Elephas maximus indicus: one gene and its partners. The protein of the gene in region 3 purifies or fractionates together with the protein of the main gene of each other region. This does not show direct contact. Links are inferred from orthologs where the notes say so. Each region holds a gene or a part of one and is shown on either strand. Other genes may lie near its edges. The genes, in order: IGF2BP3, G3BP2, TRIM25 and G3BP1.

The links.
Region 1: the proteins of TRIM25 (region 3) and IGF2BP3 purify together in Homo sapiens (affinity purification with western blotting; 3 studies listed by BioGRID, with this or other methods). This does not show direct contact. The link is inferred for Elephas maximus indicus from reciprocal best matches to the Homo sapiens genes TRIM25 and IGF2BP3.
Region 2: the proteins of TRIM25 (region 3) and G3BP2 purify together in Homo sapiens (affinity purification with mass spectrometry; 4 studies listed by BioGRID and IntAct, counting the BioPlex papers as one, with this or other methods). This does not show direct contact. The link is inferred for Elephas maximus indicus from reciprocal best matches to the Homo sapiens genes TRIM25 and G3BP2.
Region 4: the proteins of TRIM25 (region 3) and G3BP1 purify together in Homo sapiens (affinity purification with mass spectrometry; 4 studies listed by BioGRID and IntAct, with this or other methods). This does not show direct contact. The link is inferred for Elephas maximus indicus from reciprocal best matches to the Homo sapiens genes TRIM25 and G3BP1.

The regions. Positions count from the first base shown.
Region 1 is NC_064826.1:84,499,409-84,507,323, forward strand, and holds the start of IGF2BP3 (insulin-like growth factor 2 mRNA-binding protein 3), read right to left. Parts: upstream 3,280-7,915; 5' UTR 2,850-3,279; coding exon 2,675-2,849; intron 1,145-2,674; coding exon 1,084-1,144; intron 1-1,083. UniProt on the Homo sapiens protein: RNA-binding factor that may recruit target transcripts to cytoplasmic protein-RNA complexes (mRNPs). This transcript 'caging' into mRNPs allows mRNA transport and transient storage.
Region 2 is NC_064823.1:81,673,123-81,681,072, reverse strand, and holds the start of G3BP2 (ras GTPase-activating protein-binding protein 2), read right to left. Parts: upstream 3,286-7,950; 5' UTR 3,110-3,285; intron 3,017-3,109; 5' UTR 2,897-3,016; intron 1-2,896. Other genes in the region: USO1 (general vesicular transport factor p115), read left to right, coding at 3,655-3,720.
Region 3 is NC_064837.1:37,143,841-37,151,649, reverse strand, and holds the start of TRIM25 (E3 ubiquitin/ISG15 ligase TRIM25), read right to left. Parts: upstream 3,201-7,809; 5' UTR 3,120-3,200; coding exon 2,523-3,119; intron 1-2,522.
Region 4 is NC_064820.1:167,398,259-167,406,783, reverse strand, and holds the start of G3BP1 (ras GTPase-activating protein-binding protein 1), read right to left. Parts: upstream 3,127-8,525; 5' UTR 3,015-3,126; intron 1-3,014. UniProt on the Homo sapiens protein: Protein involved in various processes, such as stress granule formation and innate immunity. Plays an essential role in stress granule formation.

The DNA of each region.
Region 1 (7,915 bases), on a different chromosome or scaffold from region 3:
GCAGGGCACCAGGGAAATGTATAGCAAACCCTTCCTACCCTGCAGCACACACACCCTTACCATCAATGCCTAACCAGATACACACAGCCCTGGTTTAAATTAACTTCGAGTTTATTGTTTGGCCCTGGGAGTGGGGGATGGGAGGGGAAAAGCAGTAACCCTAACCCCACCTTGCAAAATCTAGGAAGACACAGGCCAACCCCAGCACCGCAAGGGAGCAGCGCCTTTCCAGTAAGAGAGAGCCGGGACAGTCTGCTGCTCTGGAGAAAGGAGCCATTTCTCCAAAATGCTTCAGAGGCTAAAACAGTCTCCAAAATATTCTGTCAAGTGACACTACACATGCTCTCAGAGAAGGAGAAATCCCCCTGCTTTTACGTAGCACAAATCATCAGAGTTCACGATCTCTCGGTGGTAGATTTGTAAACAAAAATGTCTTTCAAAAAAAAGGAAGCGGAGACAAAGGCGGTGTTTGCAGAAACCTATGTAACTTTGGAGGGACTGGAAGGCATTTCTAGGGTGGAGAAGCCCAAGCGTTCACTCACGTGTTCCAATCCCAGCTGGTGAGCTAACAGGGTAAAGGCAAATTCCTCTCCTCTCATGTGCCTAGGGCCTGGCAGACTCAGAGACTCATCGTCGCCAACTTGGCCAGAGAAGGGCGGGCATGCCACACCCGAGCATTTCTGCAGCTGCTTTCGCCTACCCAGTACCTACAGGCATCGGTCATCCACTGCTTACTGCTTGCTAAATCCCGGATTCCCAAAACACTCCCCTTGGAGACTTCATCTCCCCTTGCAGTAACTTGACCTGCTCTGCCAGAGAATATTTAGCTGTGAGAGCTTCCTTGAGAGACTGCTATATTCAACAACCTAGTTGCCGGGCCACAGACAACCCCTCTTTTCCTTCGCAGCATTACACACACACACAGCTGCCATAAACTTAAAAGTGAGGGGAAATGACGAGAAACGCCAAGCCACACAGCAGCCCGACAAGCATAGGAGGCAAAAAAAAAAAAAATTGTTTTCAGCTGTGTAAAAAAGGAGTCTTTCAGTAACGAATCCGTGACAAAAGAATTATTAAACTCACCTTTGCCTTTTTGGGACCGAGTGCTCAACTTCTATGAGTTTCCCATGCAGTTCCACTTTACCTGTGGGCACACAAGAAGTGGGAAACGTTTGGCTGGGTTCAGCGGCTCTTCGAACCCAAAGGACCCTCAACAGCCTATGCAGCGACGAGTGGCCTCCTGAGAGCCCGAAAGGCCCCCAAGCCCCGGACGCGGCTAAAGGCCGAGAGGGAACCCTACACTGTGCATGACCTCCCGGCTATGTGTGTGTGTGTGTGCTTAGTTTACAGATTTGTGGGGAGTGGGATCAACTGGCAGGCCCACTATTTCAGTAACATTCCACCCCCTCCCGACAAGCCTCCCCTGGCCACTCAGAGGGTCACCCAACCCCACAACACCCGCAAAATGGACGCGGCCCTCCTCCCACCTCCCTGGACACTCCCATACGACAAACGGAGGGAGAGGGGCTACATTAGCTTCTTTCAGGAGGGGGCGCACGGGCCTTTCACCCGGTTCAAGCCCAGGCCCGCCGGGAACACTTTGCGGTAGGGTTGGAAAGGACGAAGTGTAGCGGGAAAGGGTCGAGAGCGCGGCGGGGTAGAAGAGCGAACGCCCAGAGCTGCATCTCAGCCCAGACTGAACATCGCGCGAAGGTCGGCGCGGCGCCCATAACTGTACTGAGTTGATAAGGGGGACACCGAAAGGCACTGGGCTCGCAAAAGCACCCCCGCGTAGGTTCCCTGTTGGGAGTCCCAGCCCAAGACCGCCGCCCCGCCACGCACGGTCTCCTGCCCTCGCCAGGCACCACGGGCGCGCCGCCACTCCGGAGGCCGCAGCCGGGCGCCGGGTTCCGGAGAGCCGCCGGCGGCCCAGCGCCGCAGCGGGGGCTCCCTCGCCGGTTACAACCGGCCACCCCCGCCCACCTGCCCAGCTTGCTCGTCCGACAGAGTGCAGTTGAAAATGAAAGCCAGGTCGCACTCGCTCCCCTCCCGCAGGGTCGGGAGGAAGCGCGGGGCCGCCAGTGCAAGGCACTAGCCCGCGGCCTCACTCGGCTGAGAGATTCGAGCCTCTTTCCTTTCTCACACTGCCGGGGTCTGGGTGTCTGCAGCGAACCCAGCGCCATAAATAACGACCAGAGAAAGGAAGGCGAAGCAGGCATTCACACTCGCCCCCACCCCCCCCCCCGGCCCGGTGTGTGGAAACCGAGAGAACGCGCTTGGGCCCGGGCTGGGCGCGGTGGCAGCGCTGACGGGGGTCCGGTGCGGGCGGCCGCGCCCCCCATCCCCGCGCACGGGCTCCGCAGCCGCCCCTCGCGCCCCTCCTAGCCCTGGCCCTGGTTTTATTGACAGCGGGTCCACCTTCGCCCGGCAAACCCCGGTGGGGGAGGGGAGACGGGGGGGAGCGGAGCTAGAGCCAAATCTGAGAGCACCCCGACCCCACACGAGTGGACGCTCGGGCCTCACACCCTCCACCGGCTCCTCGCCGGGCCTGGGGCCCCGCGCGGACGCCCCGGCGGCAGCCACAGGCCTGACTCCGGGCACCCGACCTCGGCGGGCCGGGGCTGGCGGCGCAGGGCTGGGGCAGGCGCCCCGGTGGGGCCAGGCCGGGGCCCACCTGAAAGCGTCTCGATGGCCTTGAGGGCCCAGCTCTCGTCCGGGCAGTCCACGAACGCGTAGCCTGTCTTCACCAGGAAGGGTCCCGACACCGGGATCTTGGCGTCCTTGAAGATACTTTCTAGGTCCGAAGGAACGGCGTTCTCGTTGAGGTTTCCGATATACAGTTTGTTCATTGTGAAGACTGGTAGTTTAAAAAAACTAATAATAGAAAAACGAAAAATTAAAACCACCCACAATGGATGGATCTGGCGGTTTTGTTCCCCTCGTCTTTTCGCCTTTAAAATGCACAAACCCAGTAAAAAACAAGGGCGAGAACGGGGAGCGAAATATCAGGTCTGAAGGTTCTTGCTTCTCCTTTTCTAGGTACAAAAAAAGAAAAATGAAAAAGAAAAAGCCTTGCTACAACCCAGACGCATGAACGAGTCTTCCTAACTCTGAGGAGGAGGCGGGATTAGCGAGAGAAAAGAGGAGGAGGAGGGAAAAAAAAAACTACTTTTTGTCTCTTCCTCCCCAACCCCTTTGGCATCGGCCAGCGGACTGTGAAAATATCACACTACGTGAGGGCAGAGCGCCGCCTCCCCATAAAAAAACCCAGAAGGGTGACTGGCAGGAGCGAGGGGAGAGGGGGAGGAGGGAAGAAAGCGCAGGAGGCGGAAAAAATCCGCTCCGAGTGTCCGGCTTTTTGAATGAGCCACGTGTTCAAACTACAAATCAACGTCTCACGTGAGGAATCCCAGCGCCTCAATTAGAGTGGGTTTCGAGGAGTGGGGGGGAAAGAGCAAGCAGGAGGAGGAAGAGGGGGAGGGGAAACGAGATTAGGCAAGGGACTCTGAGGAGGGGGAGGAGGAAAAATGCTAAGGAAGCCGCAGCCGGGCGCCAGGCTAAGCGGGGAGCTGATTGTCACAACAAGAGTTTAGAAAGGGTTATCTGGTCGGGGCGGCTCCTGAGGGGCGGGGGTTGGAATGTTGATTTTTTTTTTTTTTTAATGAGTAAAAGAGTGGGAGTGCTAACTAGACGATTCCTCAACTCTGAGTTTTAATCATTCTGTTTTTAAAGTAGGTGATTAACAAAACTAGAGCCACAATTCTGAACTAGTCCTGTGGCTTTGATGACATTATGTGTAACCTCGGCAAAGCCACGAGCACGTTTCCACGGCTGCCAGGGGCGGAAACGCAGAGAGGGGGTGGGGTGGGTGCGGACGGAGAGACGGCAGAAGCGCCCCGTTCTCTTCACCCCTCCCGGCCCGGGGAAACGAGAGCGCCTGTCTGCAGGATCCCAGGGCCGGGGCTGTGGGGGATGGGAGCCAGCGACGTCCTGGGCGGGTATCTGGGCGACACCTCCTCCGCCTCCGCCTCCGCCTCCGCCTCCGCTCCCTGTGGCTCTCGGCTGCGCGTTTGCCATTGGTTGCGCGTTTCAGAAAAGGCTCGGGGATAAATGAGGCCGGGGGCGGGCGCGGCCACCGGTGGGGGAGGGGGAGAGGAGGGCGGAGGTTTCTGGTTTAGGGATGGGGCCGTCGGGGGCTTTGGAGGCTGAGGGAGAGAAGTCAGAGTGGGAAAAGTCGATACTTAAAGGGAAACTCTCTCTTCCTGTAGCTTCTAGAGCGGGGGGAGGAGTAAGTAGGGTGGTACTTTTATTTAAATAATTTTAGTTGTCGAACTAGAGACTGTTAAAACAGGAAGACCGCTCTGCGTTACCTCTAGCTGGTAATCGCCTTTGCAAAATTTGTACGAGTCTCCTTCTGCTTCTTTTTCTGCTAGCGTTTGGGCATGAGAGCCATTCATAATTTTCCATGTAAGGAGTACAAAGGTGGGTCTGTGGGGGAGGGTCTGGGCACAGTGAAGCCTTCCAGGCCGACGAAACGTGGACTGGGGACGAGGAATACGGAAAGGAAGGCAGTGCTGGGGTGCTTGGGGAAATCTGGAAGTGTCGTTTAATAATTGTCTACCACTCAAAGGCTTCATTTGTACCATATACTTGTGGTATATGTTTTTAACAGGTATTCCATGGGAAAGACACAAATGTTAACCTTTTTAAGTGAATGAAATTGTCTATAGCATGGAAATATAAACAAGAAATTTTAATGACTTGATAATCTTATCGGTAGAAAAAGATGTATTGTGTAATAGAGAAAATAATGTGATTTAACTGGAAACATCTTAAACAATTACAACTGATGTAGTTCGTTTCTTTGTCGAAATCGTGTGTGTCATTTAAAAAAATTTTTTTTTATTAACACGATGTAATTTCCAGGGATAAAAGATGAATGGCAGATTATAAAAGACAAACAGGAATATATTGCATTAAGTATTTACCTTTTGTCTTTTAAAAGGAACTTATAAGTTTGTCTTATTTTAACTGGAAGGTGTCAGATCATCCATTTTATGTGCAACTGTTTTAACAGGTTTTTCTTTCCAGCCAAGCAAATCCACTTTTTTAAATGTATACTCACATTCACAATATTTTCATTGACGGTTAATTTAATGAAATGCTTTTACTTTATGAGATGGGGGACAAACATGTAACAGTGTTTAGAACTATATTATGAGCCCTATCTTGAAAAAACGTTTTGGTGGTGAAATTCAAGTTTATAGTTAGGTTTAACTTTAAAAGAAAGTTTTTGTGTGTGTTTTAAAGGAACCATGGTTGTAAAAAAGAAAAACATACGTCTTCTCCCTTATGACTTCTTTGGTATGCAAATGTAAATATCAAAATATATTTCTTTTTCGTGTACCTGTTGCATGTGATCAAAACTATTTGGAGAAATGTGCACTTAATAATCTTTGCTTTTTCTAAATGTTACTTTAAATTTTACAGACAAGTCTGTTGATCGTTTAATTCTTTTAGTAATTTTTCTGTAAGAACAAATTTTGTATGTTCAGCTTGCTTTCTAAATCGATTGGTGACTGATGGATTATTGATTGTATTTGCCCTTATTAAAACTAAGACCTAAATACTTCTAAAGCATGGGGTGGATGATTTATTTTCCATAACACTAGCCCATGCCAGTCTGTCACTATCAAACCTATAACAGCTGGAATTTAAAACAAAATGTGTGTTGTTTTGATGAAATATGTACCTGGGACTCTTGTGAACTTAATCTATTATTGTAACAAAATGGATACCCCATCTAGGATCTTAAAAACATACACATTATATAAGCTCAGACACTAACAAAAGGAGGTCGCTATATAGGCCAGTCCACTTCGAATCTTCCAAGCATTTGAGGAATAAGTATAATAAGCTCAATAGCAGAGCAAAAAGAGCATGAGTATTTTTTATTGGCACTTTAAGTACAAAAATATCTTTAGATTTTCAAGAGTCAGTATAAGGTCAATTTAACTTCCAGTATTCCACTACGTGTCACACAAGAAATTAACTGTGTATAGGCTACTCCAGATTCCTCCTGAAGCAGTTGTAGCTCCTAGTTAATGTTGATGACATGAAAAAAGGACTCCCACCGATTATTGTATCTCAGTTGCGGCTGAGTTTTTCCATCTGCAGCCTGTTTACTCTTTGGACAGCTGCACCTCCTTATCTGCTGATCTAATCGCAATAAAAATGTTTAGGGGGTCAGTGTGACATTAAGGGAGAAAAACTATGTTGAGAAGATCGGTTACCATTGCTGTATCCACAGGTTATCTGCGAGGGCTGCGCAGGAAGGGGAAAGGACATTCCTGTTCCTACCCGTCCTTCCTCCCAGCTGCCGTGAGACAAGCTGGGAGCCTAAGCCCTTCATGCGGGTGGGCACACAATGCCCGCCGCGTCGCATGGGCCTCACAGGAGGTATTTTAACACGCTCTTGCTCCTTCGAATGGCTCTCCTGGACTCTGATCTGTTTAAACCAGAGGCGTGATAAGGGGTAACGTGACTCTCCAGAATCTACCTTCGTTTATTATCGTTTGAAATTAAAAATGGTGCCCCGGGAGACGAGAAGATGGGGGTTGTTTCCTTTTTCCTCTGGCTCTTCCCCGAGAAAGAGGGCGGGATCCTTACAGCACACTGGGGAAGGTCCTTCGTCGGCCGCCTGCTCGCCACGAAGGGCCTTGACCATTGATCCACCTTCCCCCGGGCCTCGCCTCGGGTCCCGTCACTCGGCGCGGAGCCGCAAGGCCGGTGGGACGTGAGCGCCGGGAGAAACCTCAGTCGTTTCCTCGGCGGCACGACTCCACCTGAAGTCCTCCTTCCCCCGCGGCCCGACAGACCAAGCAGCGTGTTTGACGGCCTTCCCGCACCTCCGGCCTCAGCTTCATGTGTGCGAGGGACTGCCTGGCGCAAGGGGATGCTTGGTACCCACGGAAAAAGGCAAAAAGCCATCACCGAACCCTGCGCCTCTGTCCGGGGCGGGGCGGGGCAGCAAGATGCGCGCACAGGGCGCGCAAACGCGGCCCCGGGGCGGGGCTCCCGCGCTCCGCGAGGCTGACTCGCCGAGACCAAGTTGAGCAACCGGCGTCGAGAGAAACACCGCCCCTGGCTGAAGGAGGGGGCGGGGGGCTTCTCCCTCTTATCCGATTGGTGCAGAAAGGGAGCCTATCACCGTCGGCTACCTCCGCCGGATTCGTTTGCTGGTTTCCATTCATTGGCCCCCGAGCAGCCCCTGGATTTCCATCTTTTGTGGCGCGAAAATAACCCTTTGCTCCCTCTCGATGGTTTTGTTGTTGAGGAGTGAGATTCTTACTCTCATTTCTCCCTACCCTATTAACTGCTTGCTCCCAGCTCCAATCCCCAGGGAGGAAAGAAGATGGTAGCTGAAAGGGAGGTGTAGAAAATAGTTCTGCGGTGTGTGGACCCCGCCCCCTGGGCTGACCGCGTGGTGCCCGCACAATTCCTTTCCCTTCCCCCAACGTCCAGCGACCGGAGGTCGTCGGTTTGCGCCATGCTCAGCAACTGGAGTCACATTTTCGTTTCCCTGCCTGTTTCCAACATCTTAGAATTTATATATATATTTTTTTTTCTTCTTGTAAAAACAACCAAAAAATGCGTTTCCAGTTGCCTGGACTTCCCTTGGCTTCTAGAGAAATTCACTCGTCCTGCCCCCTCCCTTCCTAGCCCCCTTTGTGCTCCCCAGGGTCTTTTTAAGCAAAACCAAACAACCCCTGCAAGGAAAAAAAAAAAAGGCAAACGAAAAATTACGGGTAAAATCAACTATGCCGCGACAACTATTTCGTTAAAGCTGCTCTAGGACCAATGAAGCTGAGACCGATCTTGAAGGATTAGTGATTCGTGTAGCTGAAATGTTCTA
Region 2 (7,950 bases), on a different chromosome or scaffold from region 3:
AGTAGGAAAGGATGGGTGAAGTCGGCCACAAAAGAAAAGCCACTAAACTACAAGGTCTCGAAGAAGCAATAGGTGAAGGAAAAAAAAAAAAAGATTTCAAATCTATGAATTTTGTTAGTTGCCAGGTTTTGTTTAGGAAAAAAAAATATATATATATATATGTTTTTATTTACCCAAATTAAAATTTAGGATTCTTTGTGCATTTTCATGATGCATGGCATTCTTATTCTGAATTCTTAAATTTATGAAAGAAGTATAATGGTGTAAGTCCTACAGTCACAATTTTTTCATGTTTTCTCTTTATTTAACAAATGGTTCTTGAACATCTACAATGTTAAAAGAATTATGTGAGATGACTAAAGGATACAAACAGGAATAAGAGGTGGTCCCTGGCTTTTCTCTATAAAATCAGTGAGAGCAGATTAATACATAACCCCCTTTCTCTTAAATAAGGAGTCCATTTCATGGTTGCTGTGTAGTGATGATACCTCTGCTTTCATTTGGGGGACAAATGAGCAACTGCCCTCTCTCTGCATCCCCTTGAGGGTAGAGGTAGCAAGCAGCTCCACCTTCCCTTCATCCCCCTTTCTGAGACGCCAGAACAGAAGCAAGACTGAGAGGCCAGGGAACTTGACCCTGCCCTCATCTCCTCTGCACTCAACTGTCCATGCCCCCTGCTCCTAATCCTTCCTTTCCAGGCGATACTGTTAGGGAAGAAACAGGTCAAATGAAGTAAAAACTCACATTAGCTTGTTAGTGATGGCTATGGGTTGAATTGTGTCCTCCAAAAAAGATATATGGAAATTCTAACCCCGAATACCTGTGAACGTGACCTTATTTGGAAATAGGGTCTTTGCAAATGCAATCAAGTTAAGATGAAGTCATCAGGACATCCATATGGCTGGTGTCCTTATAAGAAGAGGAGAAGAGACACAGACACACAGGAGAATACCCTGTGATGATGGAGATAGACTGGCGTTACCAGTTACGCTGCCACAAGCAAAGGAGCACCTGGGGCTATCGGAAGCAGGAAGAGACAAGGAAGTATCTTCCCCTAGAGCCTTCAGAGAGAACATGGTGCTGCTGACACCCTGAATTGGGTCTTCTAGCCTCCAGAACTGTGAAAGAATAAATTTCTGTTGTTTAAAGCCACTCAATTCGTGGTGTTTTGTTACAGCAGACCTTGGAAGCTAATACAGTGACCTACTGTACACACCACAGTTTAAAACACAGTCAGATATATGACAAGGCTGGCATCTTAGGACACCTTTGCTAACAAGTCAAGGCACTGTTATTTATTACCAAATAATATGCACAGTAGACATCTGTGAGCCCCACTTCATCTTGGAGCCTCATCCCCAACAATGCAGAGTGGGACTTAGGGAAGAGGTGAGGCTCAGGAAGGAGTAGGGCTCAGGAAGGGGAGAGGCTTAGAGAATGGGTGAGGTTGTTTTTGTACTCACTACTTGGTAATAAAAATGCAGAGCATTTATTGGTTACCTTTTTTAGGTGACAACAAAATCACCCTATAGAAAATGTCTGAAGCAAAACGTCAAGTGTCTGGTTTTAAAGTAGAGGACGATGTTTAGCATGCAGTACTTTTGGCGGTATGATCCCACCATTCTCCACATGGTCCAGGCTTAAAATCTTGGCCTTAGGAAAAGGACTTACACCACAACCTTTGTGATATGTGTTACCTACAATTCCACTTACAGGTGACAATATTCATATAGTTTTTCAATGATTTACTCATTGATGCAACAACATCACCTTCTACGAGACAGTGAAAAAGAGATGCAAAAATGAGTAACACAGTCCCTGCCCTTAACAATTTAGTTTAACAAGCATTTACTGAGTGCCTGCTATATATTAATAACTGCAAAGTGCTAGTATATAGATATACGTTTGAATTTCAGGAAAAGCTCTGAGGAGATGATGAGAGAGTTGAGTGTTAAGAACTAGCAGGAGTTTGCTTGAAGAAGAGGAGAGAGGGGAAGGGACCATCTAGGCATAATAATGGCCTGAGTATGTGGGAGAAATGGGAGCTGGCAAGGCAGGCAGGAGCCAGATCATAGGAGGTGCTGTATGCCAAGGTAAGGAGTTTGGATTTTATTATGGAGAGAACATGGACCCACTAGATGGTTTTATAAACAAGAGTGACTGAACAGATGTTTTGTCGTTGTTGGGCTTGGTCAGCAGTGGACTAGACACCAGAATGGAGGGAAGCCAGGGTTGCAAGCAGACAGAGGAGTTAGAAGGCTCTTGCCATAATTGTGAGAAATGATGGGAATATAAACTATGTCAGAGGCAGAGAGGATGAAGAGCAGAGTATCTATTCGGGAAATATTCTATAAACAGAAACCATAGGACTTGACTATTGGACAAGTGGGTTGAAATTCAGAGTCTAAGATTCCTCCCAGCTTCTTCCTTTGGCTTAGGCAATCATTTGGACAGTGGTACTATTGATCACTGTAGGTAGGGCACACAGTGGAAGAAGTACATTGATTTTTTTTTTTTTCCTTAAGCGAGGCTAGGAAAGATGAGTTCAATTTTAAATGCTGACTCGAGACCAGCAGGGAATTCAAACGAGAGGGGCATGCGTCAGTTAGCTAACTAGACCCTGTGCCTTTTAACCTCAAAAAATTTACGAGACTTTTCCAGAAGGATGTGTACCTGGCAACTTCATTGCGAAAAGAACAAGGCATGCCTACTTCAAAAAAATGGCATTTTTCCAAGTTAAGAAAAAAAGAACACTACAAATGCGGGAGTTGAGAGTTAATAATACAACGTTTTGCTACCAATTGCCAAATTGACAGTCCAGATCAATCTACTTCTCTACGAAGCTAAATGCAAGGTTCAATGTTTCCTTCTTACACACTTGAAAATAGCGGTGTACCTGGTGTTTAGATCTAGGAATTCCTTCTAGCAGGCTTGAAGAGCAACAGCTGAGAAATGCGCCCTCCAGTGGCCGAGGAAGGAGGGGGCTCTAGCACCCTTTTTACCACCAAACAAAGCCCTGTGAAGAAATACAATTTACTAAGATCAGAAGGCCACAGCGCTCGTACTGCTAAACCTCAAACAGGCGTTTCCAGGGACCTGGACACCTTACCTGTCACGTCGGCCGGGGGAAAATTTCGCTTTCGACTCAACAAAATACGACCCCAGACTTGACAGCCTGCAGTAAGCCCCGCTCCGCGACAATTAAAAACCTAGCAAGCCAAAACGCGCAGACTATCTGGATCGCCTCCTACGGGCTGGGCTGGGCTACGGCCACGTGGGTGGCTGGGGCTAGCAGGAGCTGCCCTCAAAGGGAGGGAGTGGAGGCGTGGCCCTGCGGCGGGAGGCGGGGCCTGGGCACCGGGCGGGGCTTGGGTGGCCCTCCTGAGGCGGGCCTCTTTTAGCCTACTCTCCCCCTTTGCCTTCGCCCTTCGAGCCGCCACGTAATGCCACGTCCCCGCGCATGCGCGTCTCGGCCGGTGGTGGAGGCTGTTTCCGGGCTTCGGGGGCTGGAGCGGCCGCCGAGTAAGAGGTGGTGGTGCCGGCGGCCGGCTAGGGCAGGGTGCGGGCTTGGGGGCCAGGCACTGCGAAAGACAGGAGAAGTTGTCTTCTTTTCTATTCCGCAGGGGCTGGTAGAGCCCGTGACTGAGCGGCAAGATGAATTTCCTCCGCGGGGTAATGGGGGGTCAGAGTGCCGGACCCCAGCACACCGAAGCCGAGACGGTGAGAGGAGCGACGGATCCGGGACTTGGGCAGGGTCCAGGCAGGGACTGGGGCGGAGAACTCGGAGGCCTGGAGGGTCGCCTCCTTAGCTCCATCGTGGGTTGGGGTCCCCACGCCGGCTCCCCCCTTGCCTCCCTTCCTCTCCTGAGACCCCGGAGTTATCCGCTCACACCCCCAACGCAGCCCCCACCGCGGCGACTCGGCCAGGCTGACAGCCGCGCCCCGCAGCTCTGCAGGCCCAACGAGGAGGTGGTCCTCGGGTGATACCGCCCGGGAAAGGGACGAATCCCGGGCAGAGGTTGCCTGACCTATCTCCCACGCCCCTCGAGGCCCGGGGCTCCTCCCTCCTTCCCTTTTGTGGGTGTCTCTACACCGCCAGAGAGGGACCTGAAGTCCTGCTCTCTCCTTCGCAGTCTGGAATCAGGGAGTTGGGGAAGACTGCAAGAAGGTTTAAAACCCAGCTGTTGACCAGAGCATGTGGCTAAGAATAAAACGCTAGTTTGGGGCACAAAGCCACCTGCTCCTGTCTCTTCAACTGGAAGGAAGGTCGTTTTTCGAGGTGATATAAGTTCAAACACCGCTTTTTCGGCTCACCTAAATATTTTTTTAAATATATGTCATTTGGTAAATAACTTGTTTGGGCGTTGTAGGGAATCTTTCGCGCTCAAACGGCATTGGAGACACATCTGCTTTCTCTCATTCATCCCGGTCTGAACTCCTGGTGACACGATTTGCAGCGTCATTTAAAAAAAATTGTTAGTACCTGAAAACGGTATTTGATCGTTGCTTATCTTGCAGGTTTAAATTTAATTTTGAAGTTTGGTAAGTGCCTCCTGAAAATGAGTATGTAAGACATTTAAAAAAAAATAAACTTTTTACTTCTGAGTAGTTCTAAGTTTACAAAAAAGTGGCATAACTTTGTTGCTAGGCTCCAGAAGAATAGTTAGGAGTAGCTTTCATTCGTCAAGCTCTTACCTTGAGCTAGGTACTGTGCTGAGCTCTTTATATTCTACATTCTCCTTTAATCTTTAACAACCCTGCAAGATAGATGATAGTATCCTCATTTTACAAGGGAAGAAATGAAGGTTAGAGAAGTCAAGTAACAGCTGGGATTCAACCTGAGTTTGCCTTACTCTAAAGCCTAGACTTCACTCCTGAAGCCCATATTTTAATACTTAGATGGAAAGAAGTTTGGACATTTATATAATGCAAGTAACATTAGCTGCACAGATCTAAGTTAGAACTGTTTAAAGCAGAAGCTGAAAATAAGATTTATTTTTCTCTCATACACACGCAACTAGTATTTGGCTTCTCTTGGCCTTTTTTTTTTTTTTTTGTCCATTCCCACATGGCCACAAGACAGCTGAGCTGTCCTATTAGAAGAACATGCTCTCAAAAAAAAAAAAAAAAGGGAACATGCTGTTTCCAGATTACCACAGTCGCTCTCTCCAGATTACTGTAGCCATGGCCTACCTTTTTAGTTTTTTTTTTCCCCCCCATTTACTTTACTTGTCTGGCATTTATGTTAGAGACCCCAAGTTTTAAAGTGTGGCTTATTAGAGCTTGTTTTGGAGTTAGACCTTTATTGGAATCCTGGCCTTGCACCCTCTGATGGGACTGCACAGGCAAGAGTTGGCTGATATCCTGTAAAGTGAGAAGTGCCTGCTCTTCAGGGTTATAATGAGGATTAAGTGAAATAAGAAATGGAGCCTGACACTTTGTAGGTGCTCAATAAGAGGTAGTTTTTATTACATATGGGTTAGAGGAAGAATACCTTCTTTTTTTTGTTGTTGCTAGTTTTCCTTGTCATGGTGGCTTCTACAGAAAAGGTATAGAATTCATAGGGTATGGGATTTTAAAGCTGGAAGGACCTTTAGAGATCATTCAGGTCTAACCCCCTTATCTTCCAGGATAGGAAGTTGAGGCACAGAACCCTAAAGGTGTTTGCACCGTAATTCAGAGTTGGGATTAGAAGAACACTTTGATCTTACTACAGTGAATGGGACAACATAGTTTTTAATGTCATGGTTTCAGAATGAAGCTTGAGTATCATTTGTGTATATAAACTAAAAGGAAAGTAAGGGTGCTTGATCTTGCCTAGCTTTAAGGATAAATACACTCAAAATTAGGAAAGTAGTCTGTTACAGTATGAATAAAATTTGTTTCACTATCATTCCATAAGTAGGTATAGCAGGTATGAGGAGTCATGGGTTACTAATTAAAAGTATTTATGTAGCATCAGTAGAATGTAGTACAATATTAGACTTTTTATTGGTGAGTTGATCTAGCCTGGATATTTGAGTTGCTAGAGCTTAGAACCTCTACCTTCTATACACCCACTTCTCCCTTATCGATATGGTTAGATTTCATAGAAAATTGACATTATGCAAAAATGGAGGATGACTACATCATGACATAACTGCCATATTGCATCATTTACATAACTACCAAATTACATCATTACATAACTGCCAAGCCACTGAGAATCATGGCCTAGCCAAGTTGACATATAATCTTAACCATCACAACCAGCATTATCCTTTGCCTCACATCTCGGCATTTGTTACTGCCAGATGTTTGTCATTAATGCACAAAATAGTTGGAGGGTAGAGTTTTTACTACTGTAAATGTGAAATGTCAGATAACGAGAGTCCTTCAGTGAGGGGTAGGTGTATTATCATTTTGTAATTTTTTTATTTCTGTGAAATCAAATTATTTTCACTGTGGCTTTCCATCTCTCTCTTTTTCACATGAAAGTTTTCTTTTCTTACCTCTGTCTGAATTCTACCTGTTCTTCAAATCTCATCATAAATGCCTTCTGTAATTTGCACCCTTCTTTCCCCCACCAGACTGCAGATAATCTTTATCATCTGAGCTTTCTTTGGATTTTAACTGGGTTATTAATTTCTTATGCTTCCTACCACTGTCTACCATTTATATATGTTTCATTCTTAAGTTACTTAAGAAACTTAAGACTCTTGAGTTTCTTTAGGGCAAGTTTCATATAGATTTTAATCTTTGTTTTTCCATAGTAATAGATGCTCAATAAATATTTGTTAAATGAATTAATTATAGTTTTGTATGAAATAAGTCACAGATCTATAATCATAAAAAAAAATAATAATCACAGCTTATAAATTCCTAGGTTCTAAAACAGTATTTTTTAAAGACAGTAGAAATCAAAGTTATGGAATGACTGAAGTTCATTATGTCAGACTTTTTACTAATTCTGCTTTGACTGCTTTCCTGCTTTTTCTTCATGTCTTCTAAATGTGTGAGAGTTATATTACTGACTGTATAGTAACTAGCTTTTCTTACCCTACCCAGAGTTAAGCTCGGGACTGCTGTTAATATTAATGCTCTTCAGAACTAATAAAGTATTAATTGACATGATAGTCAATAATTGTACAAAGTCCTGGATGTTTTAAGTGCAGAATTTTTATCCATGTTTTATCATATTTTAGAGTCAAGTACTTTTTAATTTGATGTCTCTTATTTACTTCAGGTAGAGAAAAGACAGTAATTTCTGATGCTTGAAGCCTCCTTAGCCATGACATACTTTGCTGGGTGAAAATAAACACTATCATAGTAAAAATTCTACTCGTGCTTTTAAATGCTCATGACTAAAATTTCTATCTACCTTCCAACTAGTATCTTTTTTAAAAACTAGTTTCTTGAAAAAAAACAAGTATAGACTATAAAAAAAAAAATATGTAGTGATAAATCACAAGGCATTTTATGTTCTCAGATTGGATCCTGAGGGCATAAAAGTTGATAAAGTCCAGGAAAAGTACAGAATATCTATACTGCTATGGTGTCTCTTCTTAGATCGAACTTGGATCAGCTGGGTCAGAAAGCAAAAGGGCCAATAATGCAGGGACAGCTTGTACTTTCTTTTAATAAAAATTGTTATTAAGGAATGTGGGCTTAAATTTAGACATACCTGTGGTTTGGTCGAGCACATTTTATACTGTGTTACTATAAATGTATAGTCTGAAACTCCTATTTGAGTTGATGTTTCATATTCTTCTTTAATAACCAGGTCAATGTCATAACTGATGGGTGTTTTCTCTCAGCTAGTCTTGCAGTAATTATGTCAGAGAAAACCATAATGATTTGTGTTTTGATCACTTATATCCAACCACAGACATCCCTTATATTCTTTTAAGTAGTATCTGTTGAGTACTGCATGGCTTATGCAGATTGTTTAGGGTGGTTTAAAAAAAAAAA
Region 3 (7,809 bases):
GAAAGACCTGGTAATCTGTTTCCATCCAGATTACAGCCAAGAAAACCTTATGGGACAGTTCTACTCTGTCACATGGGGTCACTATGAGTCAAAATCAACTCAATGGCACCCAACAACAACAAAATGCTTCCAGCATCACAGCAACACGCAAGCCACCACAGTATGACAGACAGACAGATGATGGAACCTCCTGATGTTATTGTTGTTAGGTGACGTCAAGTCCGTTCCGACTCATAGTTACCCTGTATATGAGAACAAAGCACTGCCCGGTCCTCTGCCATCCTCACAGTCGTTGTTATGCTTGAGGCTATTGTTGCAGCCACTGCGTCAGTCCATTTTGATGATGGTCTTCCTCTCTTTCCGTGGCCCTCTACTTTACCAAACATGATGTCCTTTTCCAGGGACTGGTCCCTCCTGATAACATGTCCAAAGTACAGGAGACAAAGTCTCACCATCCTTGCTTCTAAGTAGCATTCTGGCTGTACTTCTTCCAAGACAGATTTGTTCATTCTTTTGGCAGTCCATGGGATATGCAATATTCTTCGCCAACACCATAATTCAAAGGCATCAATTCTTCAGTGTCCTTTATTCATTGCCCAGCTTTTGCATGCATATAGACTATTGAAAACACCACAGCTTGGGTCAGGCACACCTTAGTCCTCAAAGTGACATCTTTGCTTTCTAACACTTTAAAGAGGTCTTTTGCAGCAGATTTGCCCAGTGTAATACGTTGTTTGATTTCTTGACTGCTTCCACGCGCATTGATTGTGGATCCAAGCAAAATGAAATCCTTGACAACTTCGATCTTATCTTCGTTTATCGTGATGTTGCTTATTGTCCAGTTGCAAAGATTTTGTTTTATGTTGAGGTGTAATCCATATTGAAGGCTGTGGTCTTTGATCTTCATCAATAAGTGTTTCAAGTCCTCTTCACTTTCAGCAAGCAAGGTTGTGTCATCTGTGTAACGCAGGTTGTTAATGAGTCTTCCTCCAATCCTGATGCTGCACTCGTCTTCATGTAGTCCAGCTTCTCAGGTTATTTGCTTGGCATACAGATTGAACAGGTATGGTGAAAGGATACAACCCTGATGCATTACTATTCCTTTTTATGATTTCCCAGCTAGGACACAGGGCTGGGATTCAAACCCAGCTCTCTCTCAACACCCAGCTCTGGCCTGGAGAAACAGATAAGGCCAAGGAAGGGCTGTAACCTGAATGGGGGAGGCCTGTACTCTGAACTCAGCAGTGCTGCAACCCCCGCCCCCAGCCCTCCCCGACCTCACCCCGGCCTCATGTCTCCTTTAACAAAACAAAAAGAGCCCTTGTTCTATCTGACAGTGCCGGGAGCATGAAATAAAATAAGGCCAAGCTTTGGAACTTACAGTGGTATACAATTCAAGGTGGTTTCATTACATCTTTCAGCCTCTGCCTGGAGTCCACAGAGAAAAGGTATGATCCCTCCAAACCACTAAGAAGATCACAGACCAAGGTCCCTTAGGAATCCACCTAGTCTCACCTCCTCATTTCACTGACGAGGCCCCAAGCCACAGACCACATCCTTTGCTCAAAGTCACACAATAAGGAGGCGGTGCTATGGTGCCACAGGGCTGGTGCTCCCTATGGTCACATCCAGGGATTCCTGGGGCTCCCCACACCCTCTCCGACCTCTAATAAGAACAACTCTCCCTGGTCAACAGAACTCTCCGGGTCCCCAGAGGTGTTTGCTTACATGACCTTAAGCCTCTGGAAATGTCCCGTGCTCTGGACTCTCCAGACCTACAGATCTGAGGTTGATCCATGGAGAGAAATCACACAGTGTGTAGTCAAACCAACTTGGGTCCCAATGTCCACTCCGCCCCTTGCTGTATTAAACTAAAAAAAAAAACAACCAAACCCCCACTGCCATCCAGTCGATTCCAGCTCACAGCAACCCTACAGGACAGAGTAGAACTGCCTCATGGGGTTTCCAAGGCTGTAACCTTCATCGAAGCAGACTGCTGCATTTTTCCACTGCAGGGTAGCAAGTGATTTCAAACAGCCAACAATTCGGTTAGCAGCCAAGCGCTTTAACCACTGTGCCACCAGGGCTCTTACTGCATTACCTGGGGCTAGATTAATCTCTCTGGACCTCAGTTTCCTCAACTGTAAATGAAAATACTAAGACTCATCTCCTAGGCGCTCGCAGAACTTACTGAAGGACAGAAGTAACCTCCAGGGCTTAGAGTTAACATTCAAAACCATCTACGAAACACCATTAGACAAGCACAAGGCTTAAGGAAAGCTACTTCGGCTGTGTCTTCTGTTTTCCTCTCTGTAAAATGGGTGTATGTTGGGGGGCCAGGTATACATGGTGGGAGAGGCCTGTATCATCCCCAGCTCCTTTCTCCTGTGACATTCGGGATACCCCTGCCCTCCATCTCAGGCCCAGCAAAGCCTATACCCCCAGAGCATTCAAGGTGCGGCAGAGAGGCCCAGGGAGCACGGCCTCTGTGCAGCCCCACCAGCCCTCCGTGGCGCCCCTACCTCCAGGTCGGTGCTGGCCTGGCTCAGCGGCGCCGGCGAGCAGGCCTTGTGCTCCACCAGGCAGATATGGCAAATGCACTCGCCGTGCTCGGGGCAGAAGAATTCTCGCAGCCGGTTGTGCTGAGAACACTTGCGGCGCATCAGGTCGCGGATAGGCGGCTGCAGCGGATGGTCCTGGAAGACTGGGCTGTCGAGGTGCGGCTGCAGGTGCTCCTGGCAGAAGGAGGCCATGCACACGAGGCACGTCTTGGCGGCGGCCGCCTTGAGGCAGTGGTCGCAGGCCACCTTTTCGGGCAGGCTGGGGGCCGCGGTGCGCACGGGCAGCGTCCAGCCGTCGACAGACACCTCCCGGGCCTGCTCGGCGCTCAGGAACTGCTCCACCACGGCGCACAGCACCGTGTTCTTCTGGAGCTGCGGCCGCGCCTGGTAGACGGCGCGGCACTGCGGGCACCGGTACGGCGAGCCCTGGACGGCCCACGTCTCGTCCAGGCACGATGCGCAGAAGTTGTGGCCGCACGGCGTGGTCACCGGCACCTTGAAGGGCTCCAGGCAGATGGAGCACGACAGCTCCTCCGCCAGCGGGTTCAACTCCGCCATAGCGCTCCTCCGGAGGGGCACGACACGTTAGAACCCAGGCTGCTGCACTGTGGCACGGAAGCTGTGAGGAAACGAAACTGATCGGGGCCGGGGCGGTCCCCGCAGCCTCTCGGAAGTCACGTGGGGCGCGGGCTGGTCGGCTGGCTGGCTGCCGGGGGTGAGGGGGCGGGCCGCATCCGGCCCCCGTGCGGGCGGCGGACTGGCAGTCCAGGGGAGGGTCAGCGGCGGAACGGCCCGTATAGCTTCCGCCCGGTGGGCGCGGGGCTTTTTGGGGCCACTGTGCGGACGATGAACTCGAGGGATGCGGAGGCCTGGACCCCAGCCAGAGCCGAGGTCCAGTCGGCCTTCCGCAGACTGTTTTTGTTTTTTCTGCGGGGGGCTCGGGGGTGTGGATGCTCCATCAGCATACAGCCCTTGGAGTTTGGAGCTCACACCCACGCTCAGACTTAAACTGGGTGACTTCTTTCCATTCCACCAATCTAACAGGATTTTATTTTTAATTCTCATTTCTACTTTCCTGGAGTTTGGAGACATCCAGTTTAATGAAAGGTTTACACACACTCACACACATCTGTAACATTAGAGCTTAAACATTTTTCTAAAAATTGCTTATTTAAATTTCATTTAATATTTAGCTCTATTTTTCCCCTTCTCTGGCCTGGGTACAGGAAAAATGAGTGGACAAGAGGCTAGACGAGTTCAAGAGAGGAGACGGGATGGTGGTAATGAGAAAGATTGTGTATTGGGAGGGGTTAATTGGAGTTTGCTTTAGGTACAGAGTGGATGGCAAAAATGAGAAAAAGGTAAATGCCTTAAAAAAAAAAACCTTAGACTACTGCTAATAGTGATAGCGGAGCCCTGGTGACGCAGTGGTTAACAGCTCGGCTGCTAAGCAAAAAGGCTAGCAGTTCAAATCCACCAGCTGCTCCTTGGAAACCCTATGGGGCAGTTTTACGTTGCTTCGTAGGGTCACTATGAATGGTAATAGTAATAGTAATCCAAAAAGTAATTATTTGTTTATATGCAACCTACTGTATACTAGGTAAATCACATATATTAGCCATAATCTTTATAAAGAAGCCCTGGTGCTGCAATGGTAAAGCGCTGGGGTGCTAACCTAAAGGTTGGAGGTTTGAACCCACTCACCGGCTCCACAAGAGACAGATTTGGCAATCAGCTGATGATCTGCTTTGGTAAAGATTATAGCCAAGGTAACCTTATGGGGCTGTTCTATTCTGTCACATGCAGTCCCCATGAGTCAAATCTACTCTACAGTACACAGCAACAACCCAAAAGAGCAGTGGCTGTCAAGTCGATTCCGACTTACAGTGACCTATGGGACAAAGTAGACTCGCCCCACAGGGTTTCTGAGGCTGCAGGTTTAAATGGCCAGTCTTCCGGTGAGAAACCAAGCACCAGGGCTTGTCCCACCAGGGGTCCTTTTACAATAACAACAATCCTTATAAATTCTGCAAGACAGATGTCATTGTGTCCATTTTACAGATGAGGGTCAGATAACTTCCAGAAAGCAAGACTAAAATTCTAGCCAAGGACTGCTTAACTCAATATTCTACTCCCTGGTTCCCATAATTCTCATCCAGCAGGCTCCTATTCCTCCAGGATCCTTTACTCAATTTGTTCTCTTTCATTATGGGTTTTTTGTTGTTGATGGTGTTTTTGTTTTTTTGCATGGGGGAGAGAAGAAGGATGAGGGAGTGCAGGAAATTAAAATTTGTTGATAATAAATCTTAGTTCTTACAACAGATCTTTGCAGTAGGTATAATTATCTCATGTTACAGCTGAGGAAGCCCTGGTGGTGCAACGGTTAAGCACTCAGCTGCTAACTGAAAGGTTAAAGTTCAAACCCACCAGCCGCTCCGTAGGAGAAAGATGTGACAGTCTGCTTTCGTAATCTTCCGTAAAGATTACAGCCATGGAAACCCTATGGGGCAGTTTTATCCTGTCCTATAAAAAAAAAAAAAAAAAATTTTTTTTTTTTTAATAGGGTTGTTATGAGTCAGAATCAAGTCATCGGCAACAGGTTGAGGAAATGGAGGCTTAGAAAAACTAAACAACTAGCAAAAAGATGGAAACAACCTAAGTGCCCATCAATAGACAATGATAAACGAATTATGGTATATTCGTACAGTGGAATACTACACAGTGATAAAAAAGAATGATGAATCCAAGAAACATCTCACAACATGGATAAATCTGCAAGGCATTATGCTGAGTGAAATTAGTCAGCTGCAAAAGGACAAATATTGTATGAGACCACTATTATAAGTACTCAAGAAAAGGTTTAAACACAGAAGAAAACATTCTTTAATGGTGATGAGGATGGGGAGGGAGGGAGAGGGGAATTCACTAACTAGATAGTAGACAAGAGTTATCTTAGGTGAAGGGAAGGACAACACACAATACAGGGGAAGTCAGCACAACTGGACTAAACCAAAAACTAAGACGTTTCCTGAACACAACCAAATACTTCAAGGGACAGAGTAGCAGGAGCTGGAGTCTGAAGACCATGGTTTCGGGGAACATCTAGGTCAATAGGCATAACAAAGTTTATGAAGAAAACATTCTGCATCCTACTTTGAAGATTGGCATCTGGGGTCTTAAACGCTAGATGCATCAATTGGTCTCAGCCCACCTGGGGCAAAGGAGAATGAAGAACACCAAAGACACAAGGAAAATATTAGCCCAAGAGACAAAAGGGCCACATAAACCAGAGACTCTATCAGCCTGAGACCAGAAGAGCTATGACCAATGACCACCCTGACGGGGAACACAACAGAGAGGCCCTGACAGAGCAGAAGAAAAGTGGGGTTCAAAACTCAAATTCACGTAAAAAGACGAGACTTAACGGTCTGACTGAATCTAGAGGAACTCCAGAAGACATGGCCCCTAGATTCTCTATTAACCCAGAACTAAAACCATTTCTGAAGCCAACTCTTCAAAGATTAGACTGGACTTTAAAACATAAAATAATACTTGTAAAAGTGTGCTTCTTAGTTCAAGTAGATACACGAGACTAAATGGGCAGCTCGTGTCCGGAGGAGGGATGAGAAGGCAGAAAGGGACAGGAGCTGGTTGAATGGACATAGTTGGGGGTGGAAAGGGGCAGCATGTTGTCACATTATAGGTATTGCAACTAGGGCTGCATAACAATATGTGTATAAGTTTTTGTGTGAGAAACTAACTTGAGCTGTAAATTTCCACCCAAAGCACAATTTTTTTTTAAACTATCGTATCTAAGACAATGGATATTGGCACTCAGATTATTTGCCGGAAGCTAGACCCTTATTACTATAACATGCTGCCTTCCAAGGAGGAGTGGGGCGTTTCCAGGAAACAAACACTATGAAATTCCCCATGACCAGGCTCACATGGGTGAACTGGCCCGGTGACTCATGCCAGAATGTTTGTGGAACTCTCTTTCTAGGTGGAGAGGTTTAGAAGGGCTGGTTGAACAGTGAAGATGACTAGGAGGGATTTCTTTATCAAATTCAGTACTTTTAGACCTGTTATACAGCAGTGATGGTACTGGCTGCTGGAGGGATCAAATGTGAGTCTAACAGAGGCCTGCCTTCTAATATAAGGGAGAAGAAGAGAGCACAAAGCAGAAAAGGGAAATAGGGTGAGAGGTCAATTCCTGCTGGGAAGATGGACTCCTCATTTGAAAAATCGGAAACCTGATAATACCTTTTTCCTGGGGATGTTGTGGAAACAGCAAGTAAAGCACACTAATGCGGGTGGGAATCCAGTTGCCATGCAGTCCGTTCCGACTCACAGCCACCCAGTGTATTTCAGAGTAGAACTGCGCACTATGATTTTTCAGAAGTAGATAGCTGGGCTTTTCTTCTGAGGCACCTCTGGGTAGATTCGAACAGTCTTTCAGTCAGCAACCCATTGCCCTCAAGTCCGTTTTGACTCACAGTGAGTTCATGTGTTACAGAGTAGGACTGCTCCATGAGGTTTTCTTGGCTGTAATCTTTATAGAAGTAGACCACCAGGCCTTTCTTCCATGGTGCCCCTGGGTGTGTTTGAACCATCAACCTTTAGGTTAGTAGCCGAGCACTTAGCCATTTGCACCACCCAGGACCTCCACCAGTAGAAATAAATGTTAACCGCCGTGATGGGCTAGTGGAGGCCCAGAGAGTGTATGTGGGCTGGAGAGTGTGTTTATCATTAGTAACCTCAGCTGAGCAACATTCTCGAGTCAAATGTGATCCCAGCTAGTCACAAGGGACCAAGATGGTCCAGTCCAGCAGATGACTGGCTATCTTAACCAGATTCCCAGTCTGCATCTGTAGGTTGGAAGAATTAGGTGGGGTAATAAACCTCATTTACCTAAAATATACTTTTTTCTAAATTTTATTTTATTGTTGAGAATATACACAGCAAAACATACACCAACAGTTTCTACTTGTACAATTCAGTGGTATTGATACCATTCTTCTAGTTGTGCAACCATTCTCATCCTCTTTTTCTGAGTTGTTCCTTCCTCATTAACATTGCTCCCTAAGGTTCCTATCTATTCTTTCAAGTTGCCATTGTCAATTTGATCCCATATAGATAGTTCTTAAAAGAGCATAATGTTCAAGGCAGACATTTTTTACTAGTTAAGCCAAACTTTCGTTCTATCTTAAAATGACTTCAAGGGATCTCTTTGGTTCCAGGTTTAAAG
Region 4 (8,525 bases), on a different chromosome or scaffold from region 3:
CCAGCCAAAGAAAAAAGGTCTACCTACTTTGACAATGATCCCCCTTTGTAAAGTTTCAAAGCATCCAGCCAATCATAGTTTTGTCCAGTCCAAGGCAGCCTTAAAACACAATATAATAAAACTTTTTTTTTTTTAGTAACACACAACGCCTATCTAAACTTCCAGATATTTTAAAAACCAATCTAATTGCAAAGCATTAAGAAAACACCAGTGGGCACTTTTATGAAACCAAAAAAAAAAGTTGGTTTAAGTCACAAATTCAGGCTTTACATTAAATCTCATCTTTTGAGCACTGGCCCATCTATCCTTCTACAAATCATACACAACTCACAAACTTATAAAAACTAACCTCTGCCCTTTACTTTCTGTGCAAAGCATTAAAATAAGTTCAAGTAAAAGATCCCTAATGTAAATTACAAAAATTGCTGCAAGGGTCACCAACGAACTTTACCAAATCTCCTGATGATCTCTTATTAAACTATTAGCTAAGAACAGCAAATCAAGTGTGAGGTAAAGAAAACCACTGCCTACTTTTCTACCTGTTAGAAGAGGTACGTCTGCTCCGATTTGAAAGGATTTAACTCTTAACAAAAGTACTAATGGCTTGATTGGAAAGTAAGGCTCAAGTCTTATATTATCACAATTTGCTTCATTTCGCTTGTTTTTGATAAATACATGCACAGCAGGCCAACTGGGGTACCAACAATAGGAACATCACTTAATTTTATTTCTCCCCAAATGACAGCAATTTGCCTGAGGCCAAAAACAGTATTTTGTTAATACTTGAAGGGATTACTGACAAAACTTTCCCTCAATTAATACATAGTTATTTCATCCCGATAATATTTAACCTCAAGTAGTACTAAAAATGGCTGGAATCAAATGTGTAGGTCTGTCATCATAGTGTGTCAATATTTGATAATCTAAATTGCTCATCTTAAGTCCTAAAACACTTATTTCACAGTTAATTCCTCTTTAAATGCAGGTAACAGAAATTGTTACACAACTGCAAGTTCCAAATAAAACAATGTTATATCCAAATGGAACTGTAATTTATGGCAACAACTAAACGTAAGAACTTGTCCACACAACATTCTGATCTTTTACTGCTACTTTTTGTTTAGAAACATGGGGGGAAGTACAAGGTAAAGGAAAACACATGCAAGTATTAAATCCCCTCATTGTCTTAACTTACAAAGAATGTACATAATGTGTACCCTCTGGCTGCAAAAACTCCTTAAAGAGCAATCCTAAAGAGTATGAGCGCATACAGTAAAAAGGACAATTTTTTTTAAAAAAGAAAAAAAAGCAGAACAGGTTGAAAGCCATTCAATTCAAAACTAATTTAGAACAGCTAATCCCAAAGCTTCTTTTGCAGTTTTGTCTTAGAGACACCTGTGATGCAAATTAATAATTTTGACTTGCAACTTAAGAACATTCATTATTTCATTAAGCCAAAGTGTATACAGGCTTTAAAAAATCTAACTCTGCTACAAAGATAAAAACTCAAGCCTTCGAAGATGAGAAAGGTGTGTTCCACTTTTTTGCGTCTACACAGGAGCAGAGTAAATGCTCAATAGCTGAATGTAGTAAGGCTTTCAACCACAGAAGATCCCAACTCCACAAGAGTACAATTTCCAACATACCCCTATCACCCGCGATTCATCTAGCATTTATAACCTCCAGAGGTCAAATTTATCCTGTAACGGGGAGCCATCCTTTCCATTCCAATTTTTAACCCACAGATACTGCTGAGATCTGAAACTCTTCATTCTAAACCTCATTTTCTTCAATTATAAAACGAGGAAGTTTAAACTACCTTCTCAAAGGTCTTTCTCAAAAATCTGCTCTGATTAAAAAAAAAAAAAAAGAAGGATTCAAGACCTACATATCAGAGTCTAACTTCCTGCTGGCGAGAATGTCCCATTACCTCGCTGAGTTTCAAATCTGATGAGGAACACAGTCCATGTTCGTCGGCATTTATTCATTTTTCTACTTTTTCCAGAAGCTGTTAGGGCAGCACATCCCTCAGCTATCCCAGCGAATACAGGCAAAAAGGGAAGCTCAAACCCTCTTTCTTTGTCATAATTCCACTTCCAACCTTTGATCATCTCCGTGGAAGGCCACCACTGGCCTCAAGTACAAATGCCGCAGAGACTTCTCGGCAATTGTGTCTTCCGAGGTGGATGCTGCCCCCAGTGACGCCTGCTCTCGGGGCAAAGGTGCCCTGGGACCGCACAAGCCGTTGGAGCAAAGAATAAAACAGGCTCGGGGGCTAGAAGTCAGGCAGCCTGAGTTGAAATACCTGTCCCTTACCGTCTGCGTACCTTTGGCCATGTCACTCCACCTAGGTGCTTTAAAGTCCGCTGTAAAACGAGGAAAACAATTGTACCTACCTCACTGGGTCGTTGGAAGGATTAAATGAAATACATACAAGTTGCTCAGCACAAAGCCTGGCCCAAAAGGAAGGGCTTAGAGACATTAGTTATTGTTATTGCTAATTCTCCATGCACAAGGCCGCTCGCTCTGTACTCCCTGGAAGGTCGAAAAATTCTGATCGCACTTGAAGGTCGCCCCTACCCCTCGCTCCCGGTCCGGGCCAAGTCTGAGCCTCTAGGCGCGGGGAGAAAACACTCGGCTGGCGCGTGGGATGGACAGAGGATGGATGGGGCGGGCGGCGGGAAAAGCCGGCCAGCCGGCTCGCAGTCCCTCCCTGGCCGCGCGAGGCTCCCGGCCCCCCGAGATGGCCCTGGGGCCCGGGCGGCGGCCGCGGCTCGCTCTCGCCCCGCGTGGCCGTTGGACGCGGCACGTGCACGCGGCGGCCACGGCCTCGCGCTCCGGACGGTGGGGGTAGGGGAGGCAGAGAGCCGCTGCGCGCGCCTGCGGCCGTTGGGGGGAAGGGGGGGCGCGCCTCGCGCCGCCGCCACGGCAGCCGCTCGGACCTCTCCGTCTAACAGCAGCCCCAGCTCGGCCTCGTCCTCGGGCGGCCCAGCCCCGCCCACGCCCCAGCCTACCTGCGCGGCTGAGCGGGAGAGGAACAAGCTCTGCTCCACAGTAGGACGGATGGCAGAGGACCCTCACGGAACTGCGTCCGCACACACGCGTGCTCCGCCGCCGGTGTATATAACCACGACTCAGCCTAACTTGTTGCGGCCAGGCCGGGCGAGCGGATGGCCAATCCCGAATGCGCCCTCTGGGCTCTTCGAACCACAATTGGATATTGACTCAGGGTGAAGGCGTGGCTCTTGATTGGCTTGGACTAGGGCGTATGAGACTGTAAGGATCGCGTTTCCCTAGTAACGGATTGGCACTCAGAAAAACCAATAACTTAAAGGTACAGTGAAAAGGAGGGTGGGAAGTTATGTGACCGATACCCGTAATAGCCAATAAATCCATGAAACTACTCTCATTCGCTAAAACGTCGTCCCCTGGGCGGAGATCCGTTTTCCACGCAGGAGCGGTTGCTCCACAAGGTGGGGCCCGTGTACTTTGGGGAAGTAAACCCCAAGTAACTAGGAGGTGGGCTGCAGAGAGGCCAAGGAAGTCCCTGGCCAATCGTAACGCCGGAAGGGGCTGATTGACGCGGGGGTTGGCTCCAAGGAGACCGAACCCCAGGGCCGCCGTGCCCTCTGGGGCGTTTATAGGAGTTTCCAGGCTCTGGCTTCTGTTCTCTTTCCTTTCTTTCTCTTGTTTGATCCGGCCCCAGGGTCCTTTTTCCCGCCTTTTCCGCACAGTTGGTACTAGGGGAACCAAGGGGTAAAATTCCCCGTTAAGTTTTTGTTTTTAATCTTTTATTTAATTTTTTTTTTTTTAATTTCTATGCGGCTGCCTAAGGGCACTTGCTGAGTCTTACCTTTAGCTAGCGCTATTGTTGGACTTGGACCACAGTTAAAGGAAAACAAAAGAAGAAAATAGTTTCTGTTGTGTGTGTAAGAAATGTAAAAAGATCACATGTGAAAACTACTGTTGAGTTTGAGAATGTATATGTCCACCCCATTCCCTCTTGGCAAATGCTGCGGTTGCTTAAACCAATGGTGGGCTTATGGGGGTTTTAATCAGACTTTCCATTTTGGTTGTTGCAGAGGGAACGTCTCCCGTCAAGTTTGGGCCTAATGCAACATCACATCTTGTGTGTGTCCCCAAGATTGTCATTCCTTTTTCTAATTGCTGTGTATACATGGGACTTGGAAGACTTGCTTTTTCTTCATGCCTTTGCATCTTTAGAAGATAACTTGTCCAACTCCTGCATGGATACTCCAAAGATTCCCCGAAACGGTTAGGCTAAATGGCCCTCCAGCCTGGTTCTGTCCGTGTGTCTTAGTATTTTGCTGTGTCCTTTGTTGGTCACCACAAGCATTTTATATAGGAATATGGTTGGTTCCAACACATTAGGCATAAACTCGCATTCTCATTCCAGGTATGTAAGCAGCTGGGAGGGTCTTCTTACATTTTGCCAATAACGTTGGAAATGAAGCAGGTGGAGCGTCTCTGGATGCAGAGAAAGGCCAAGCAGGATGGCCTAGCCAGGGCTGAAAGGAGAAATGGGCACCCGCCGCATCTGAACCAAATCCAGCCCTGCTCTTCCTCTCTGCACTGCCGGCCTGGCAGACGAGACTGGAGACCAGGGGAGGCCTCAGGAGCCATGAGAAAGGCCCCGCTGGTTCCCCCAGGTCTCACTCCCTTATCAGCCCTGCTTATTCAGTGTTGACTGAGTACCAGGGCTAGGAGTCAGAAATGATCAAGATGCTGTTCACTGTCACCCATTCAACAGAGGGGTGCAACACTGGGACACGGATCCCAAAACAGGCATCAAAGGGTCTGTGGGGGGAAAGGAAGGAAATCAGCCTACAGGAAAGAAGCAGCTAAAAAATGTCTGAGGTAAGGGACCTTAAGATCATGTAAGGCATGTGAAGGAATTTGGGCTTTATTCTGTAGGTGGAAGGTTTTTTCAAGGGTGGACTAAGGTTTACATTTTACAAAAATGACTGTACTGAGAGCAGATTGACAAAAATAAACAAGATTGGTAATTTAACCCAGGTGGCCTGTGATGTGGGAAATGGCTTCTCTTGATCACATTTGGAAGGAGTATTAAATGATACAGCTTATTTTATAAGGCAAGTAGGCAGTGTCTATTAAAATTGTGTGTGTCCCTAAATAAAATTCTACTTCTTGGTAGACAGGTACATTTGTTTACAGAGAGGCCTGTACCAGAGTGTTTATTGCAGCATCGTTAGAATACTTAGAAGTAGAATATTAAAATAATATTCGTCAATTGGCAAACTGTTTAACGGTGGTATACCTGTAATATAGGATACTTATGCAGTAGTTTAAAAAAAGAATATATGGATATGAACTGATGTCCACTTGTTAAATGGATTGTTAATTTAAAAAAAGTCATTCAATGAAACATACAGTGAAGTCCCATTTATGTCAAAAACAAAAAAAATGCTCATTTTGTATGTTAAAGTATATATGTAAATGTATGGGGAAAGTTCTGAATTTAAAATAAATTCAGTCATTACTCCTGGAGAGTTCAGTATGTAGGGAGGGATGAGGGTAATGTATCTGAAATGTTTACAATGGTACTGTGTTCACATACTGTGTTGTGTAATGGGAGGGAATGAGGGAGAGGAGGAAGGAAGGATTATGGGAGGGAGAATGTGGGCAAGACAACCCCTCAGATGGCTGTTGCTGTCTTTCATGGGAGAAAGGGAGTTAACATCCTCCCGTCAAAGCTTCCCCATCCAGATAAACCCTCTAGATCCAGACAATGGATATTTAGTAAATGTTCGGTAGTTAACTTACTACCAACAAATTGTCTAAAACGTGGTTGAGAGGTTGTCTCCAACATCCCCCCCCGCAAGGACATATTTGGCATTGTCACAGCTAGGTAGAGGCCACTGGCATCCAGTGAGTAGAGACCAGGAATACACAGGAGAACCCCCAAAACAGAGACTTATCCTGCCAAACCCCAATTATGTAGAGGTTGAGAAACCCTCGTCTATAGACCCATTTAAGTCATCTATGGGAGAATCTCAAGCCTTCTTCTGGTCTTTATCTCCGCTGCCAAGCAAGTTCTACAAACCCCTCCAGTACATTCTTTCACCCCTGCCTTTCTATCAGCTCTCCCGAGAGCTCTGAGAATCGGGGTGGAAGGAGAATGAACAAGACCCCAGAACATACAGTTTGATAGGAGGAGTGCAAGGGTGGTGGGAAATACTAACTAGGTAAGAAAAGTTTCTTGAATATCATCTGAATCAATGTTTCTCAAACATAGTTACTCATTTATGAAGAGTGATGAAAAATATGTGTGTATCTTTAACTGTTAAACTCCCACCTATGACCAAAGACCTAGTATAATAATTTTCATTGCAGCATTGTTTAAAGTAGAAGGAAACAGGAAACAACTCAAGTATCTAGCTACATGGTACTGATGAGATACAATGCTAAAATACAACACACTCTTACAGTGAACTGTCATGCAATCACAGAGAAAATGAGGTAGATCTACATGTATACTTGTAGTGAGATCACCAAGAGATATTGTTAAATGAAGAAAGCAAAATGAAGAATAATGGGAAGAGTGTGCCACCATTTGTGCAAAAAGAACAAATGGAGGCTATGTTGTTGTTAGGTGCCATTGAGTCAGCTGCAACTCACAGCAACCCTATGGACAACAGAAGGAAATACTGCCTGGTCCTGCGCCATACTCAAAGTCATTACTGTGTTTGAGCCCATCATTGCAGCCACTGTGTCAATCCATCTCGTCGAGGGTCTTCCTCTTTTTCTCTTCTTTTCCAGGGTCCCTGCTGATAACGTGTCCAAAGTATGTGAGATGAAGTCTTGACATCCTTGCTTCTAACAGACATTCTGGCTATATTTCTTCCAAGACAGATTTGTTCTTTCTTTTGGCAGTCCATGGTATATTCAGTATTATTTGCCAACATCATAATTCAAAGGCATCAATTCTTCTTCAGTCTTCCTTATTCATTGTCCAGCTTTCGTATGCTATGAGTCAGCTGAAAACACCATGGTTTGGGTCAGGCAGTTTAGTCATTAACGTGACATCTTTGCTTTTTAACACTTTAAAGAGGTCTTTAGCATCAGATTTGCCCGATGCGATACACCGTTTCATTTCCTGACGACTGCTTCCATGGGCGTTGATTGTGGATACAAGTAAAATGAAATCCTTGACAACTTCAATATTTTCTCCGTTTATCATGATGTTGCTTATTGGTCTAGTTGAGAGGATTTTTGTTTTATGTTGAAATGTAATCCATACTGGAGGCTGTAGTCTTTGATCTTCATCAATAAGTGCTTCAAGTCCTTTTCACTTCAGCAAGCAAGTTGCGGTATCTGCATATCACATGTTGTTAATGAGTCTTCATCCGATCCTGATGCCCTGTCCTTCTTTATATAGTCCAGTGTTATGGTTTGAATTGTGTCCCCAAAAATGTGTATCAACTTGGCTAGGCCATGATTCCCAATATTGTATGATTGCCCACCATTTTGTTATCTGATGTGATTTTCCTATGTGTTGTAAATCCTACCTCTATATGTTAATGAGGTGGGATTAGCATTAATTATGTTAATGAGGCAGGGCTCAATCTACAAGATTAGGTTGTATCTCAAACCAATCTCTTTTGAGATATAAAAGAGAAAAGAGATCAGAGAGGCAGGGGGACCTCATACCACCAAGAAAGCAATGCCAGGAGCAGGGCATGTCTTTTGGACCTGAGGTTCCTGCATTGAAAAGCTCCTAGTTGAGGAGAAGACTGATGACAAGGACCTTCCTCCAGAGCCGACAGACAGAGAAAGTCTTCCCCTGAGCTGGCACCCTAAATTCAGACTTCTAGCCTCCTAAACTGTGAGAGAATAAATTTCTCTTTGTTAAAGTAATCCACTTATGGTATTTCTTTTATAGCAGCACTAGATAACTAACAGTCCAGTTTCTTGGATTATTTGCTCAACATACAGATTGAACAAGTGTGGGAAAAGGATACAACCTTGATGCACACCTTTCCTGATTTTAAACCACATGGTATCCCTTTGTTCTGTTTGAACAACTGTCTCTTGGTCTACGTACAGGTTCTTCACAAGCATAATTAAGTGCTCTGAAGTTCCCATTCTTTGCAAAGCTATCCATAATTTGCTATGATCCACAGAGTTGAATGCCTTTGCATAGTCAATAAAACACAGGTAACACTGGTGGTGCTGCAGTAGTTAAAGCTATAGACTCCTAACTGAAAGGTCAGTGGTTCGAAACCACCAAGCGGCTCCAAAGGAGAAAAATGTGGCAGTCTGCTTCTGTAGAGATTTACAGCCTTGGAAACCCTATGGGGTTGCTATGAGTCGGAATCAACTTGATGGCAATGGGTTTTTTTTTTTTTTTCCCCCAGTCGGGGGGCGGTGGTAAACATCTTTCTGGTATTCCCTGCTTCAGCCAAGATCCATCTGGCATAAGCAATGCTATCCCTCCTTCCACGTCCTCTTCTGAATCTGGCTTGAATTTCTGGTAGTTCCCT